Linked DNA regions of Nothobranchius furzeri. The protein of the gene in region 2 purifies or fractionates together with the protein of the main gene of each other region. This does not show direct contact. Links are inferred from orthologs where the notes say so. Each region holds a gene or a part of one and is shown on either strand. Other genes may lie near its edges.

Region 1 (4,534 bases), on a different chromosome or scaffold from region 2:
CTACCCTTTAAAAGCACAATGCCGCTAAATTAATAACCACAGAGCTGTCAGCTGTGTGACATTACTGAGCATAAACACTTCAGTACCTGATGATCTCTCCATATTCGTCCCATTTAATCCTCTCCTCGTGTACCGGAAACATCGGGTAAGACTTTTTAGCCTGTTTGAAGAAACTGCCTTTACGGCTCCCCTCGCTCTTCATCATCAAGTCGTGATGCTTGGTTTTCACCGCAGCTAGGTGATCGATGTCATCCTCCACGTCGCTCTCATCACTCGAGTCCACATCCACCCTGCAAACCCAGGAAGTAGAGTGGAACAAGCACAAAACAGATTAAAATCACCTAGAAGGTCATTTATTTCTGTTCTCTGACATCGACAGGTTCAAACTGCTGAGAAAGAGTCAGAAAAATACATAAACTCTTCCTTTTCCTACTGAGACTCACTCTTTTGCTTGTTCGAGTTTTTTTGCTGCTTCCTTCTTCACTTTCTCCTTCTCCAGATATTCCTCCAGGTCCTTGCCCTCGAGCTTCACTCTTTTCCTGACCTGCCAAAAATAAAACAAAACATTTTAAGTGTGAAAGTAGGAAACAAAGACCACGTGAAAAGTTGGTCATCAAAAACCCAGTCTCACCTCCAGATCCAGCATCGTTTCCCCAGGGTTGTCGATGAGGTAGCGCGCCAACGTTCCAGGTGTGGTGCGGTAGGTCAGGATGATGGAATTTTTTGCGTTTTGACACCACTGAATAAAAAGTTCTCTGGAAAAACCAGACTCAAGGTCTGGCTGGCTACAAAGCACCACCTTGGGGCTGGGGACCCGGGCCAGGTCTGCCAGACTGTGACACAGGGTCAGGTGTCGGAACTGGAAGGGATTGTTTCTTTTATCCTCAAAACACCTCATGAGTTTGTCGCTCATCCACTCCACCTACAGGAAATTAGAAATGCGGTAGTTTGTCATATTTCCTACGAGGTCTCCGTTTCAATACTAAGGAAGTGGGAAAACCAGTGACTGATACCTGGGACTTGGAGAATTCCACCACATTGTAACTGACATTGTTGAGCAGAGCTAACGGGTAAACTCCCAGTCCAGCATCCTTTGTCCTCCAAATCTGGTCCAGGAGCTGTGCCAGCTCCAGGACGCGTCCAGCCGTGTCCACGGAAATAAGGACATTCCCATCCCCACGCAAGGTCTCCATTACATTAGCTGTAAAAGTAGGACAATTAGTGAAGGGAGAACATTAAACATGCAAGCTGAAACCCTAACACCTATTTTCAAGAAATTCTTTCAATCTAGTTTAAGCTTGATGCTAAAATTGGTAACCGTTGTGAGGACAACTTACTGAGCAGCAGCTCATCTCTTTGCTTGCGGCGTGGTTGTACATAAGTAGCATTAAAGGAGTCAGTAATCAGTAAGGATGGACGACTAATGCTCTCCAAAGTGCAGCCATTCAGGTGGCTGAAACAGAGAGGAGTAAAAGAACACATCAGCTAAAACCCGACAGGCTACCAGATTTCTGTTTTATACAAACACCTCTGCCTACATTTCTCTCTTATGGTTAAAGTCCACTGCATAGACAATTTCCTCCTCTCCATCCTTGACAATCTTCCATATGGTGCCTCCGATCATGTGTCCAGCAGGAAGAGGAGTGATGGAAAGGCCATGGCCTTTACCTGTGAGGAAAATTAGATGATTTTAACCACATAAACTGGAGGGTTCTTTAATCTATAATGGATTGTAGGATGCTCACCTTTCAGACTGACAATCTGAGAGTACTTCAGTTGCTGGATTTTGTCAAAAGCACTGTCTACGTCATCAAGGGTGAAGAGCGTGAAATCTTCACTGTTGTTTCGAGACTGAGGGAAAGGGAAAATATTTAAAAAAAACAGAGTTTTATGCAAAACAATGTATATGTTAGCATTTTTTAATATAATTACAATTTTAAGTACCTGATATAAATCATACATGAACATCTGACCCATTTTGTAGACCGGAATGGTGGCATAGATAGTACAGTTTAGACCCAGCTTGCCAACAGCATAGGGCAGGGCTCCCAGGTGAATGGGGTCAGGGTGGGACAGCAGCACTGCATCGACCTGATGAACATATCTGGAAGAGATGATGAACAATATTTTTGATTGCAGAACAAACACAAAATTAAGTGAGCTAGGGGTGGAAAAACTACTTAAGTCATGAGTTCAAACTGATTTTACAATAAAGAAATAAATAAATGTTTTCAGCAACTCTGGAAAATGTGTGAACAACCCATTCCTTCTTGTGGATAGCTCTTATTGTTAATTATGGTTTGACATTGTTACCGCTTCATGGCATCAATAATGTCCATTGAAAAGTTCTCGTCCCATCCACAGTCCAGCAGGAAGCGAAATTCATCCACCTGCAGCAGGTAACAGAGGGCAGACTCCTCCTGAACCCCTGACACGGCTGTCAGCTTGATAATGGACGTCATTTTCCTTCACTTGTCTCGCTGAAATGACACAACAGAGCCCACAAGTACAAACAACTTCAACGTCTATTTCTTGAAACTAGTTTGAATATGAACAAAACCACGCACACATGTGCCATTATTTTACCGAACAATAATAGTGAATTTCATATCACTGTGAGTACAAGGGCTTGTATTCATCTCGTTACAAAGGTTAAAACGTAAGAAAATCTAAATGAAAGCTGTCTGATTTTCGCAACAATTGTTGTCGAATTACCCGGCAGTCTGCTTAGCCTGCTAGCTTAGCCACATATTAGCTTGCGTATATGAATGAACAAAATCAAGGGAATGGGAGACATACCATCAAATACAAGAAAAAAATAAATATTATCTTTCGCAGTAACAGAAAAAAACGCCTAAATGTGGGGGTTTTCTTGTAATAATAACATCCAAGACATTTTTGTTAGCAATTAACAGCTCGACTAGCGGCCATGTTTTCACGTTCGTCACAGGTGAAAGGGCAAATGAACGTACCACTTACAGTCAAGAAGTTCTAAATCAAAACACATAATTTAAAGTTCTTTATATTAAACTTAAAACATAAAAAATGCAAAAAATTGGAATTCAATATAATGAATATAGAATATAATGAAATAAATATGTAAGTATTTATCGATTTTCATGATCACGTGATCCTTTTGCATTTGGTAGAGTCCACGAATGTCCTTCGTTTGGTGAAGGAAGACCTGAAGGCCACGACTGTGTTAAAAAGCGGGTAATTTCTGGATTTATGTTTTATTGTCTGAGTCTGATAGTTATAAAAGCTTTGAGCGAACGTTTATTAAACTAAACATTAACAGGTAAAGTTATTTATAACCAAACGTCGCAGTAGTCGCTAGTGTTTAGCATGTTAGCTGTGGAGGAACGCTTTAGCTTCAACTGAATGCGGTGTCCAGCTGTATTTTCGGTTACATTTCAACATTTTCTTTGCTTAATAAAATGTCCTACATCATATATTTTAGGGGGATGTTTTGTTTATTGCATTTGATCCAACATCAATAAGCTGATGGCCATAATTATGTCGTTGTTTTGGAGCTTGGCTCTTATGAACATGTTTTCTTTTGTTTAAAAAAGAAAAAATAAATTGGATAATAACATACTACAACTGAAAACAACTCCCACCCCCAAAAAAGAGCAGGAACAAGCTTAAACTTGATTGATACCAGTAACAAGCTTTAGTGAATATAAAACATAATCAGTACTATGAAGTTAGTACAACTCTGTGCTTTTTTTGTAGGAACCATGGTGAAGTTTGCTCTTTCTCAGATAAACTGGACACACGTATTGGTTCCTATGGGTTTTGTGATCGGATGGTACCTTGATAAACAACAAGACCAGAAGCTGACAGCTTTCAGGAACAAAAGTGTGTTGTTTAGAAGGTAAGAAACCTCACACACACATACCACGGTCTCACAATTCATCTAACTTTGCAAGCAGCAAGTTCAGGTGTGGAATAAAGATTTTTTTAATGCAGCCACATGGAAAACAAACCTCCTTTCTTCTTGATAGAGAGCTGAAGCCTGGCGAAGAGGTGACCTGGAAGTAGATGCCCAGACAGTCCTGTCAGCTGAAGTGTGAATGGTTGATGGATGGTCTTCAAATCGCTTAATTGAAAAACATCCTGTATATTATTTTGAGTTGTATCAACTAAAAAATAAACATGCCCTTTGTGTTTCAAAGAAATAATGTTTATTTTATACATTATGTATCAAAAAGCTGCGAAAGAACCGTATCCATGACTACTGAAGTTTGTTTATGAACATGGTCGGTGTAATTAAGCTATCTGAGGAGGCTCAGCTGTGCGGATAATCCCCTTCTCAAAAAGCAGTTCGGCCAAAGCAATCTGTGAGGAGAGAGGAAACTAGATTATTTTCAGAAATTCACACCATTAAGGCACAGAAACGAGTTTGAATGTCAGAACCCACCTTGTCCTGAGCAGAGTCGCATGGCAAGCCTCCTACTGTCACAAAGTTGGGATACGAGTGGATCAGAAACTCAACGGCATCCGTGTGCTAAAGATAAATAAAGTACCAATT
Region 2 (3,760 bases):
CCTGGCCCGGGCTCAGCGGCCTCGGGTAGACCTTGGCTCCTCTGCTGTTCCATCACAGGGGAGGGGGAGGACCCAACCTTACCTGGATGTCCTATGTCTTATATGTTCTGGAAGCTGTGCAAATGCAGGGATGGGAGTAGATATTCTGCTGGGGTGGGGCTGCGTTGGTTCCCTCGGACTCCATGGAGCTCTGCAATGCTGCTGCTTTGGCCTTGGCAAGATGGGCTGGGGTCTCCATGCCCTGGGTGGCATTTTGGCAATGGAAGTGCCTATTGGGGCCAGTGGGAGCTGGCGCCCTGGAGGGCTTAGGCCAACCAGCCATTCCTCCCCATCCCCACACATTTTTCTCCTCCTGCTCCCTCACATCATCACACAAACATGCACATAGGACTTTGAGGGGTGGACAAGTCAGGGGTGCAGGTATGGACCCCATTTCTGCATTCCTGTGGCTGCCTGCCCCCCAATTTTATTTGCAAATTAAACACTTCCACCAACGACATTCCACGCAAACACACACTTAGGGCCTTGGGAGTAAGCACATTCAACGGCATTTGGCAAGGGGATCTTTCAGCCTCATCCCATGTGCCAGTGCCCACTTCCAATTTTAAACTGCACTTAGACACAGAGGGCTGTGGGGGGAAGAGGGGCGGTGTGGTGGCTAGGGCTGTCACGGTAACCGCAAAAATGAAATATCGCAATATGAAGAAACCCACCGCGCTGCATCATGAGCCACCGCGATTACTGAACTTGATTCAACTCAATGATGCATGTTGAGAAGGATGGCTGCACTGGTATCAAAACGAAACGTTACTTCGCTCCTTTGGGAGCACTTTGGTTTTCAGTATGTGAGCTGCTGCGCAGCCAGAGTCCTTGGCCGAGACAGAGCTGCCACCAGCGGCAAAAAAATAATAATAAACGCTCGGAGACCTGCTGAAGTCCCGGACAAGCACTGCTTCTGCAACCGTCCCGAAGAGAGTTTGAGCCGAGCTGGAGCTCACTCGCTACCTGCAGGAGGAATGCATCCACCCTAAAGAAACCCCCCTGACATGGTGGAGCAACAACCGGGAGAGATTCCCTTTGCTCGCCAGTCGCACGCAAGTACGTGTGCGTTAGTGCAACGAGCGCACCATCCGAGAGGGTTTTCAGTGTTGCTGGAAATATTGCCACCCCTCTCAGATCCTCTCTCAAAGCGTATATAGTTATCATGCTGGTTTTCCTTGTGGGTAACAAGGACGTGACCGAGCTATAAAGCACCGTCATTCGTGTGTGTGAAAGTGAAATGATAGTGCCCCGCGCCAGGTACATGTAATTTTTATGCTTGATTTTAAACAGCTAAACAAAATGGGGACTTGTTTCTTATTTGTTAGGTGCTGCAGCCAAATTTGCATTTAAAAGTTTAACCTCCTGAATTTTGTTGTTTTTAAGTTCAGTCGGACTCCGACTGTCGGAGAAACAAACGTTACTGCGATCTGTGTTGTTACTGCCCTTTGATCTGCATTCAGTAAAGTGTTATAAAAGAAGGCACGGCAATTTTTAACCTTTTTTAAATGTGTAAACATTATGTTTAGATAGTACTGCAATAAAAAGAAAATGCTGCAATAATATCGCACACCGCAATATTAAGCCACCCTGAATCACCGCAGGGGGAATTCCTCAACCGTGACAGCCCTAGTGCAGGCATCAGCTGGCGTAGGCCAGACGATGCCTGCACTGCCCGCTCACCACAGCCACAAATACACCTCATCAACACGCACCAACACTATACTGGAGCAGGCAGAGTGAGACTAGGGGTCTTAGCACACCTCTGTTGTCGCTTGGCTTCCTGGGGCTGGAGGCTAGGAGGGAGATCTGGCCGTCTGGCTGGGGTCTGGGGTGGTGGGTTGCTGTGCTCAGCGTTGGGCGGGGGAGCCTGCTCATCAGCACCCCAGCAGAAAGGGTCAAACTCTGGTAACCGGTGATGGTTGTACCCCCTGTGCAGCAGTACCGGGACCAGAGTGAATAGGGTGTGTATGGGGAGCATGAGTGGGTGTCTGGCATGCATTTTTGTGAGTCTTAGGTTGTATGTGCATGTGTGAGCATGAAGGAGGGAGTGTGTGACTGTGTTTGTGTATGACTGTATATGTCAGGTGGGGCTTTTGACTCCTCCCCTCTCCTGGGACTTCTGCGTCTGCCTGACCAATCCCGGTGGCTGCCTGGTGGGATCTGGGTCCCTGGACTCTGTTGGGTCCCCAGCGGGGCTGGTCGCCCCTGGGTCCCGGGACACTGGGTTCCGGGCTCGGCCGGCTAGGGGGTGGGAGGTTGCGGGCGGGCCTGAGGGCTTGCCGCTGATATCTCCCGGGACTCAGCCAGCTACTGGTTGTGGCCCCCCGGGGCGATCCTCTGCTCCTCTCGAGGGGGCAGGGGCTTTTCTGGTCTCAGTCTCCTTGGGGTCCCTGTGCTCTGGGGCAGTACCTGAATCTCTGGGACTTGGAGCTCCCTCCGTCTCCTACACATCTTTGGGGGGCAGATCTGTGGCCCCTCACACTCTGTTGGACGCTCCTATAGAGAAACCTTACATGGGTACACACGACGCACACAGGTGCTCACATGGTGCTCTCATAAGTATGGACTTGGGCACGTTCAACACATATCATCTGTGGTTGGCACTAAATGCACTGTGATGTATGTGTGATTGTTCAGTTAAACAATGTTGACTTTATATTTCTTCATCAGGTTGACGCGGTGATAGCTTGCTCCTGTTGTATGTGTGTCCCTTTTCTTTTTTTCTTTTTTTTCCTCCTTCTGCAGGTCTAGAAGCTCTTGTTCATCATTGATTGATTGTTTTTGTGGAACCTCCCCCCCCCACACACACACACACACACACACCTTTTGTCTTTTCCTTTCTCTTTCACCTCTGTCTCCGTGTCTGGTAGGAATAACAAAGCATTCAAAAACAATAACAATAAAGTTTTAAGTATCAGGCGTGACATTAAAAGCAAACGCTTTGATGCTCCACCTGAGAGTAAATCTGTAAGGCTTGTCACCAGCATTCAGACATCAATTCTGTTTACTTCACAGCCAGACAGGACAGGGGGAAAAATAAATTTAAAAAAAAAGGAATACTGGGTACTGCTGAGTTCTATGGTTTTATTCTCTTTCTGACCATTTCTAATACCTGAAATGTTCTGTTGTAGGTCTGGAACAGTGCAAATCCAGAGATGATGAAGGGGGTAGAGAGGAAGAAGAGGACTCTGATACAAAAGACCATGCTGTCAAGCATAAAATTCCTTCTGAGATGGTGGGTCAGGCCATTTCTGTAGTGGGGAGTTACACTGGGAAACCCCTCAGCACAGAAGCTCCAGCTGTCAAAAAGCTTCCTGAACCCATTCTCCCCTCGGCACAAACCAAGTGAGGCTGCAGCTCAGAGAAAACGTCACAGTCAGAAACATCTGCAGCACCTGTAATTTGATTTTATTGTTTTTCTGCAGGATGAGCGGGGCAGGTGGGAGGAAAAAGGTGTTTCGACTGTCCGACGTTGTTCAGCCTTTTTCAGACTCCCAGATTGAGGTGTTAACTTCCAAAGCGGTGAAGCGCATTTTGCTCTCAGAAAAGGCGATTTCTCAAAGTGGAATGTCCCATGTGAGTGATGGTTAGGTTTTATCACCAGGTTTATGCTCGTGTGGGTTCCCCTGCATCCTGTGGGATTTTTGACTGTTTCTTTATGAATCAAACTGTGATGATCAGTAAAGGAATGGTTTAGGCTCTAACTGGAGATCTCAAC
Region 3 (2,454 bases), on a different chromosome or scaffold from region 2:
AAGACTAAAGGGGAAATATGTAAACAAATAAACAACATGATTACAAAATGACACATTTTAGGCAAAATTGAGACACAATTTGAGGACAATATTTTCCGGATATACAGGGTTTATTTAGTTGTTTGAAAATGTAACACGTTTAAAAAAAATACCGCGATAATACCGAAAACCGTGATAATTTTGGTCACAATAACTGAGGTTAAATTTTCACACCGTGACAACCCTAGTGGCAGTAAATGAGCACCCATAAGAAATTTAACTTAAAATCAAGAGAATTATTTTCTCAATACATTTTAACAGATGGCGCTTATTTGCTGCTTGAATAACTATAAATCTATTTAGATTTGATTGACCTTTAGCAGTAAAATAAACTTATAAGTTGAAGGTGACATGCATTCTAAGTTTCTGATCTTATACAGGCCTGCTTCAAGTACTACTGCCGCTCCTGCTGGCACTGGCAGCACTCGATGGACATCTTGAGCAACCATCGGCCCCTCATGCGCAACCAGAAGAACAGGGACTCCAGCTAGAGCAGAGGGATCTAGACACTCTGCAGGGTCAGAGGAGGAGCCTCTACAGAGCGAGGCTGCCCGCCGGCGAGAGCACGGGTGTCGGGCGTCCCTCGGTATGGGGGCACTGTGGCACTCCACCAGGCACTGGGGTTTTCACTGTAGAAAATGTTCACTTTTGCACTTGCTACTTTTTTGCTGTTCACAGTGGCACTATGCAGTGACCTTGTTGGGAATAAACAAGGGGCCCTTCACACTAAAAGCATTTTCTCAGACTTGTGGCCAGACAAAGTGAGAGTCAGCCTAACGTTATGAGGTGGACGAAAATGCCCTTTGTTTTGATTATTTTTGTTTAAATGTGTTGCATAGTGAAGAGCAATCACGCAAGTCTCATTGCCATTCATTGGCAAATGCCATACAGTGCCTTTAAATTTTTATTTTTTCCCCTCTTCCCTCCCCTTATGCCAGTTGGCACCAGTTTTCCTGTACAAGCCAACTGGTTTCTTACTTTTGGGAGTTGAATGTTGGGCTTCATTTAACCAGTCGCATTTCAGACATTTTTACGCAGTTTTTTACTAATTTGTACACAAACGGTTTTAAGTCATAACATGAAAATTTTGAACAATTATATAAGGTGGCTGTTGATGGGAAACCCCCCTTTTTATTTTTTCTTCATACATTTCAGTGGCTTTTTTTATTTGCCTTTCCGTATTTCAGCTGAATGGGCACAAAATGTTGGATGTAATACTTCTGCTCACTTTGATCCAGTTATTAAATATTCATCAGTACTAGTGCGTCAATTGGTAATCCACTGCTTCTAGAGCACTCAATAGATCCCATTTGAAACTGGAGTCATTTGACTGTTTACTTTATTCCCTTTCCCCCCACATTTTAATTTGCACGTGTGGAGAGGTGGCAGTGGTTTTTAATCACTTTTGTACATTGATGGGGGACATGCCTGTTAAACCTGCTGCTTGTTTCCTGTTTGATGTAAGAACTTCCACTTAGCTGATTAACTATCCAGAACTTGAGTAGACCCCCCCCCCCCCTTCTATAAATGATCCCCTCATTCTTATGCCATTTAACCTTCCTGTTCCAGTTGGATGTAAATGCATACGTTGTGTGCCAAAGACGAGTGTCTTTCTTTATTTGTTAGGTTTGTCATGCTGAGCTTGTTGTCTTTTAGCCCAGCTGCTTTTTAGAGTTTTGAAAGTCTACCTCATTGTGGTCTGCCAAGTTTGCTGCTACTTAATTGTGGAGTATGTTCAGATTGGGCACAATAAAGGTGTTTAAGCATTAAGATGTCTGGGCTCCAAATGGTTTGTTATTTCAGATGTGCATTTAAGCTTTTCAGTTTTACATTGGTATTGATTCTTTATACAGATCAGGATGGTCTTGTTCTATTTCAGTTTTGCTTTAGCTGACCTAATTCACTTGAACATGAACAAAAACAAAGATGATTTTAGACTGCAGAAGAAACAGGGTGGAGTCAAACACTGTTTGCACCATGGGAGAAGTGGAGGTGATTGAGGAATACAAATACCTTGGAGTTCACCTGGACAACAGACTGGACTGGAGAAAGAGCAGCGAAGCCGTTTACAAGAAGGGACACAGCAGACTGGTCTTCTTGAGGATGCTTAGGTCCTTCAATGTCTGTAGCAAGATGCTGCAGATCTTCTAAAAGTCTGTTGTTGAGCCATCGTCTGTTGGGGTAGTAGCATCAGAAACGGGGACCTGAAAAGGCTCAACAGCCTAATAAAAAAGGCTGGTTCTGTTCTGGGGACGACTGTGGAACCACTGGAGGAGATAATGCAAAGAAGGATTCTCCAGAGAATCAAGAAAATGATGGACAACCCTGAGCATTCTCTTCACAAGACTGTCCGACAATGGAAGAGTGTCTTCAGTCAGAGGCTTCTTCAGTTTCGCTGCAACACTGACCGCTACT
Region 4 (4,331 bases), on a different chromosome or scaffold from region 2:
TTCTGCACTGTTTCTTCCTTTTCTTTTTCTTTTTTTTTTATGTATCGAAAGTATCGGATCGGGACTCGGTATCGGCAGATTCTCAAAATCAAATGACTCTGACTCAGACTCAAGGGCAAAAAAACCTGATCGGGACATCCCTAGTACTAAGTTCTTCCATCCGGATTCTCACCAGTTCCTGGAGCTGGTAGAGCTGAGTTTGTTTTGCACATTGAATGCTAATCATCTTCTGAAATTTCCTTTTGCATATCCTTTTCCCATTTGGTTTTTACATATTGTGAATTATTTCCATTACATTTTTTAATACAGCTGTATAATTTAGAAACTACCTTGGACGGCAATTGGTTTTTCGAGTTCAGTATAATTTTAACCAGCACATTACAGTTTCCCGCTAGTTGTGGTTTCACCTGAATGTCAGAGAAATGCCTCAGTTGTAAATATCAAAATAAATCTTTGTTGCCTATTTTAAACTCTTTTTTTAACATTTTCAAAAGATTAAAGGTGGACTCTATATTTTTACATTTTTTGTTTTTGTGAAGCGCCTCGTGATTTTTATCTTGAGAGGCACTATAGAAATGATATTTTCTTCTTCTTCTTTTATTACTTTTTATGTGCTCTTGCTTACTCTTCCATGTCAGTTTGTGGGCCCCCTAGTTCCAAAAAAATGTATGAGCCAATAAGTTGTTTTCTGATCCTGTTTGAAATGTGCCATTGTTTTGACATATGATGTCTGTGAATTTAAAAAATACAATTTTATGCCAATAAAGTGTTTATTTTTGACAGGTGACAAAAGTTACTTTAGGTTTTGTGTAAATGACGTAGAGGACGGTCTACAAATACTTGTCTCACCAAATTTATGTAATTGAACCAGACACAGAGAAGATGAGAAAAAGAATGGTGACAAGCTGCAAATCCTTCCAGGATGAAAGAAGATACATTAAATATGGAGAAAACCACCACAAATCTGGCCATGTGGTAAGTAGCAACTATGCTGGGGGAGAAGAGACTCAGCTGTGACGTCACAGACCCAGCGTCAGATCAGTAGTGATTTTAATTACGAAATTGTACAAACAAATAAATTTTAAACTATGTGACAGACAAACGAAAATTAAAAATGACTACATATTTTAAAACAGAAAAAAAAACTCACTATAAAATAGGAATCTAGTAAGGTTCATCCTGGAAATAATTTTACAATTCATAATATTCTTCTCAATAAGTACTCTTCTCATTTTTCATGAAACAAAAAATTAAAGCAAAAATAAAAAAATAAAAAATAAAAAATAAAGAGGCAAGCATTTTCCAAGTGAAACGTGAAAGGCCTCGTTTATCGATTAGTTCAGTCTAGATCCGTCAGCTCGGTGATCGTTGTGCGCGCGCCAACACCGTCACGCTGAGCAACGAGTAGAACGATAACTAAAACGGAACTGACAGACCTGAACCACGGTCAGAAGTTTTTTTTTACGCAGTAAAACTACAAACTTAGTTTATTTACATGTTTTCTAATTATATTTTGTTAATCTGTTTGACCGTCAAGTTTCGTTAGCCTACGCTTTCGTTAGTGTGCGGATGAGGTAGCTAAGCTAACAGGTTCGATTTCAAGCTAGCACAGGCGAAAACAACTTATTTGGCTTGAGGGCAGAAAACCAAAGCAAACATGCAGGACTTGTTGGCCACCGTGGATCACATCAAGTTCGATCTGGAACTAGCTATGGAGCAGCAGCTGGGAGCGCAGCCTCTGCCTTTCCCCGGCATGGACAGTAAGTGTAGGGATGCTACCTGCTATTAGCCGCTTTATCTGAATGAACCCTAATGAGAGAGCTAACGGCAGGTACACACATGCTTGTGTTAATCAGTTCTGTGCTAATGTGTCCCCCTGTAGAGTCAGGGTCAGCTGTGTGTGAGTACTTCACCAGAGGAACCTGCATGAAAGGTAAAAAAATATAATTTCAGTAGTTTTTACTTCGTTTTGTTGTTGGTCACGGGTCCATGTGTGTTTCCATTAGACACACAAATGCTGCTTATTTTATTTTAATCTGAAACGTTCATCAAAGCTTTACAATTCTAAATAAAATGTATTGGTAACCCTCCACTCACTGGTTGTCTCCGCATCATGGTTCTGAATTCCTAATAAAATTCTTTCTAGTGTGCAATAGAGACTATAGCTAAACCGGTGCAATCTTTTCATAAACAGACCTTTTCTATTTATAAAGTGTTTATTGTTACTCTTTGTCACATTTTTATGTTACTTATGATTCTCACTTCTATTTTTATGCCAAACACAGAGTCAACCACCGCTTCTGATCTCGCTCTTCCTTGTAGTGACATTAACATAAAAGATTTGATTTGTATGACAAAAGAGGAGAAAGTATTTTGACTTGATTTCTTCTGACTCTTGTTTTTGTAGCTCTGCAACAACCCGACTTTGCAGTTGTTCAAATGAGATGAATGTTGTAACTGTGAATGTGATTCAGGTGGGATGTGTCCGTTCCGTCACATCAGCGGAGAGAAGACGGTGGTGTGTAAACACTGGCTCAGAGGACTGTGTAAGAAAGGAGACCAGTGCGAGTTTCTCCATGAGTATGACATGACAAAGATGCCTGAATGCTACTTCTACTCAAAGTTTGGTTAGTTGACTTTCTCTTTATCTTTAACACATTAAATGAATTCTAAGTGTGGCTCTTGTGCCTCTTAACCACTCAACACTTGTCTTCAAGGCTCTGAATATTTTATTTCTTATATGTGTTGACCCCCAGGTGAGTGTAGCAATAAGGAATGTCCCTTCCTGCACATTGATCCAGAGTCTAAGATCAAAGACTGTCCATGGTACGACCGAGGCTTCTGTAAACACGGTAAGATCCGGCATGTGGGTGAGAAAAACTCTTTTTCTGCTCTTTCTTCAAACGGCTTCTGGATGTTTGTGTGTTCAGGGCCTGACTGCAGACACAGACACACAAGAAGGGTGATCTGTGTGAACTACCTGGTGGGTTTCTGTCCAGAAGGAAAGTCCTGTAAATTTATGCAGTAAGTCATTTGTTTTATTTGATTTTTTACATAAATTACCTGTTTAAGATCCAGTTTTTATTTAGTAAAAGTGGATTTTTGGGTTAGGAGATTCTGAAATAACACAATCAAAGATGTAAAATTTACTGAGATGTTTTCCTGCAGCCCCCGGTTTGAGCTGCCTATGGGAACTTCTGAACAGCCTCCTCTTCAACAGCAACTTCAGAACCAGACAAAGGTACGACCACTCACTCACAAATTTATTAAACAACTCTTAGTTCAGCCAACTTTAAAAAAATTATTTTTTCTGCCTTTTTGAAGCAGGTGAAATACATAAATATTTACTATTTTTTCTAAAGAGCTTCTAGAAAAGCCTCTGTTGGGAGAAATAAAGTTTAAGTCTGACTGGACTGATGAGCTAATGGCTAGTCTTGGAGCTACTGAAGTGTGTTGTTATCTGCAAACAGCACCAATCTTTAGAATTAACTCTTTGGGCCCTGGCGCCTCCCAATTGGAGGCCTTTGGAGTTTCATGTCCCAAATGTCAGTGATTGTTTGCATTCCCCGAGTACAGCTACAATCAAAACAGTTTCGATTTTAAACAAAGCAATTTTTGGATTTTGATAAATTAAGATAAAATAATACTTGAACTTAATTTTAGAAGAGGAGGGCTGTGTGACAGGGTGGAGGTTGTGAGTTCAAATTCGATTTCAGAAATTTAGTCTTATTTTATTTATTCCAGGGGTCCTCAACTAAGTTTGTTCAATCGTTTTTTGCAGCAGACACCAGTGAAGGCCAGACGCTTTTCTAAAAGTTCAAATATCATTGTATCTTAATTTATTACAATTTAAAATGGCCTTGTTTCCCATCTGGGCTGTTTGATTGTGGTTTTAGTTGTTTGGAGAATGTGGACAGTTGTAGATGTTTGGGACATGAAACTGTAGAGGTCCCCAATAGGGGGCGTTAAAACAAGAGTTTGAGTAGGGCTGTGCAATAAACCGAAAATGTATCGTTATCGAGGAGAAATCCTCAATATATCGTGATATTGATTTTAGGCCAAATCGCCCAGCCCTACTTTTGAGACACATTCACTGCCATCCGTATCACATGACATGGAATTATCTGGTTATTTTCCAGCAGCAAGTCAGGGGTTAAGTCCTCCTGGAATTACTTAATGTTTCTCCTCTTTCCTATTCATTTTCTCTCCCTTTCCTCGCAGTTTTTAAATTTATTGTAATTTAAAAAAAATTTTGTAATTGTTTTTTAAAAATATTTTATGTATGTAAAATTGTTAGTTTTTGTGAAGCACCTCATGATTTTTATCTTGAG

Evidence for each region.
Region 1: the proteins of sympk (region 2) and cpsf2 purify together in Homo sapiens (co-immunoprecipitation; 8 studies listed by BioGRID and IntAct, with this or other methods). This does not show direct contact. The link is inferred for Nothobranchius furzeri from reciprocal best matches to the Homo sapiens genes SYMPK and CPSF2.
Region 3: the proteins of sympk (region 2) and cytoplasmic polyadenylation element-binding protein 1 purify together in Homo sapiens (affinity purification with mass spectrometry; 3 studies listed by BioGRID and IntAct, counting the BioPlex papers as one, with this or other methods). This does not show direct contact. The link is inferred for Nothobranchius furzeri from reciprocal best matches to the Homo sapiens genes SYMPK and CPEB1.
Region 4: the proteins of sympk (region 2) and cpsf4 purify together in Homo sapiens (affinity purification with mass spectrometry; 4 studies listed by BioGRID and IntAct, counting the BioPlex papers as one, with this or other methods). This does not show direct contact. The link is inferred for Nothobranchius furzeri from reciprocal best matches to the Homo sapiens genes SYMPK and CPSF4.

The regions. Positions count from the first base shown.
Region 1 is NC_091742.1:9,301,682-9,306,215, forward strand, and holds the start of cpsf2 (cleavage and polyadenylation specificity factor subunit 2), read right to left. Parts: upstream 2,951-4,534; 5' UTR 2,800-2,950; intron 2,481-2,799; 5' UTR 2,463-2,480; coding exon 2,314-2,462; intron 2,105-2,313; coding exon 1,945-2,104; intron 1,852-1,944; coding exon 1,746-1,851; intron 1,669-1,745; coding exon 1,539-1,668; intron 1,454-1,538; coding exon 1,338-1,453; intron 1,202-1,337; coding exon 1,014-1,201; intron 923-1,013; coding exon 632-922; intron 545-631; coding exon 444-544; intron 291-443; coding exon 87-290; intron 6-86; coding exon 1-5. Other genes in the region: NADH dehydrogenase [ubiquinone] 1 beta subcomplex subunit 1, read left to right, coding at 3,741-3,877, 4,008-4,044; riox1 (ribosomal oxygenase 1), read right to left, coding at 4,273-4,341, 4,424-4,510. UniProt on the Homo sapiens protein: Component of the cleavage and polyadenylation specificity factor (CPSF) complex that play a key role in pre-mRNA 3'-end formation, recognizing the AAUAAA signal sequence and interacting with poly(A) polymerase and other factors to bring about cleavage and poly(A) addition.
Region 2 is NC_091747.1:24,049,443-24,053,202, reverse strand, and holds part of sympk (symplekin), read left to right. Parts: intron 1-3,173; coding exon 3,174-3,387; intron 3,388-3,467; coding exon 3,468-3,618; intron 3,619-3,760. UniProt on the Homo sapiens protein: Scaffold protein that functions as a component of a multimolecular complex involved in histone mRNA 3'-end processing. Specific component of the tight junction (TJ) plaque, but might not be an exclusively junctional component. May have a house-keeping rule.
Region 3 is NC_091749.1:46,243,929-46,246,382, reverse strand, and holds the end of cytoplasmic polyadenylation element-binding protein 1, read left to right. Parts: intron 1-419; coding exon 420-530; 3' UTR 531-1,809; downstream 1,810-2,454.
Region 4 is NC_091752.1:65,592,170-65,596,500, reverse strand, and holds the start of cpsf4 (cleavage and polyadenylation specificity factor subunit 4), read left to right. Parts: upstream 1-1,355; 5' UTR 1,356-1,657; coding exon 1,658-1,760; intron 1,761-1,882; coding exon 1,883-1,933; intron 1,934-2,474; coding exon 2,475-2,627; intron 2,628-2,756; coding exon 2,757-2,852; intron 2,853-2,930; coding exon 2,931-3,024; intron 3,025-3,168; coding exon 3,169-3,241; intron 3,242-4,331. UniProt on the Homo sapiens protein: Component of the cleavage and polyadenylation specificity factor (CPSF) complex that play a key role in pre-mRNA 3'-end formation, recognizing the AAUAAA signal sequence and interacting with poly(A) polymerase and other factors to bring about cleavage and poly(A) addition.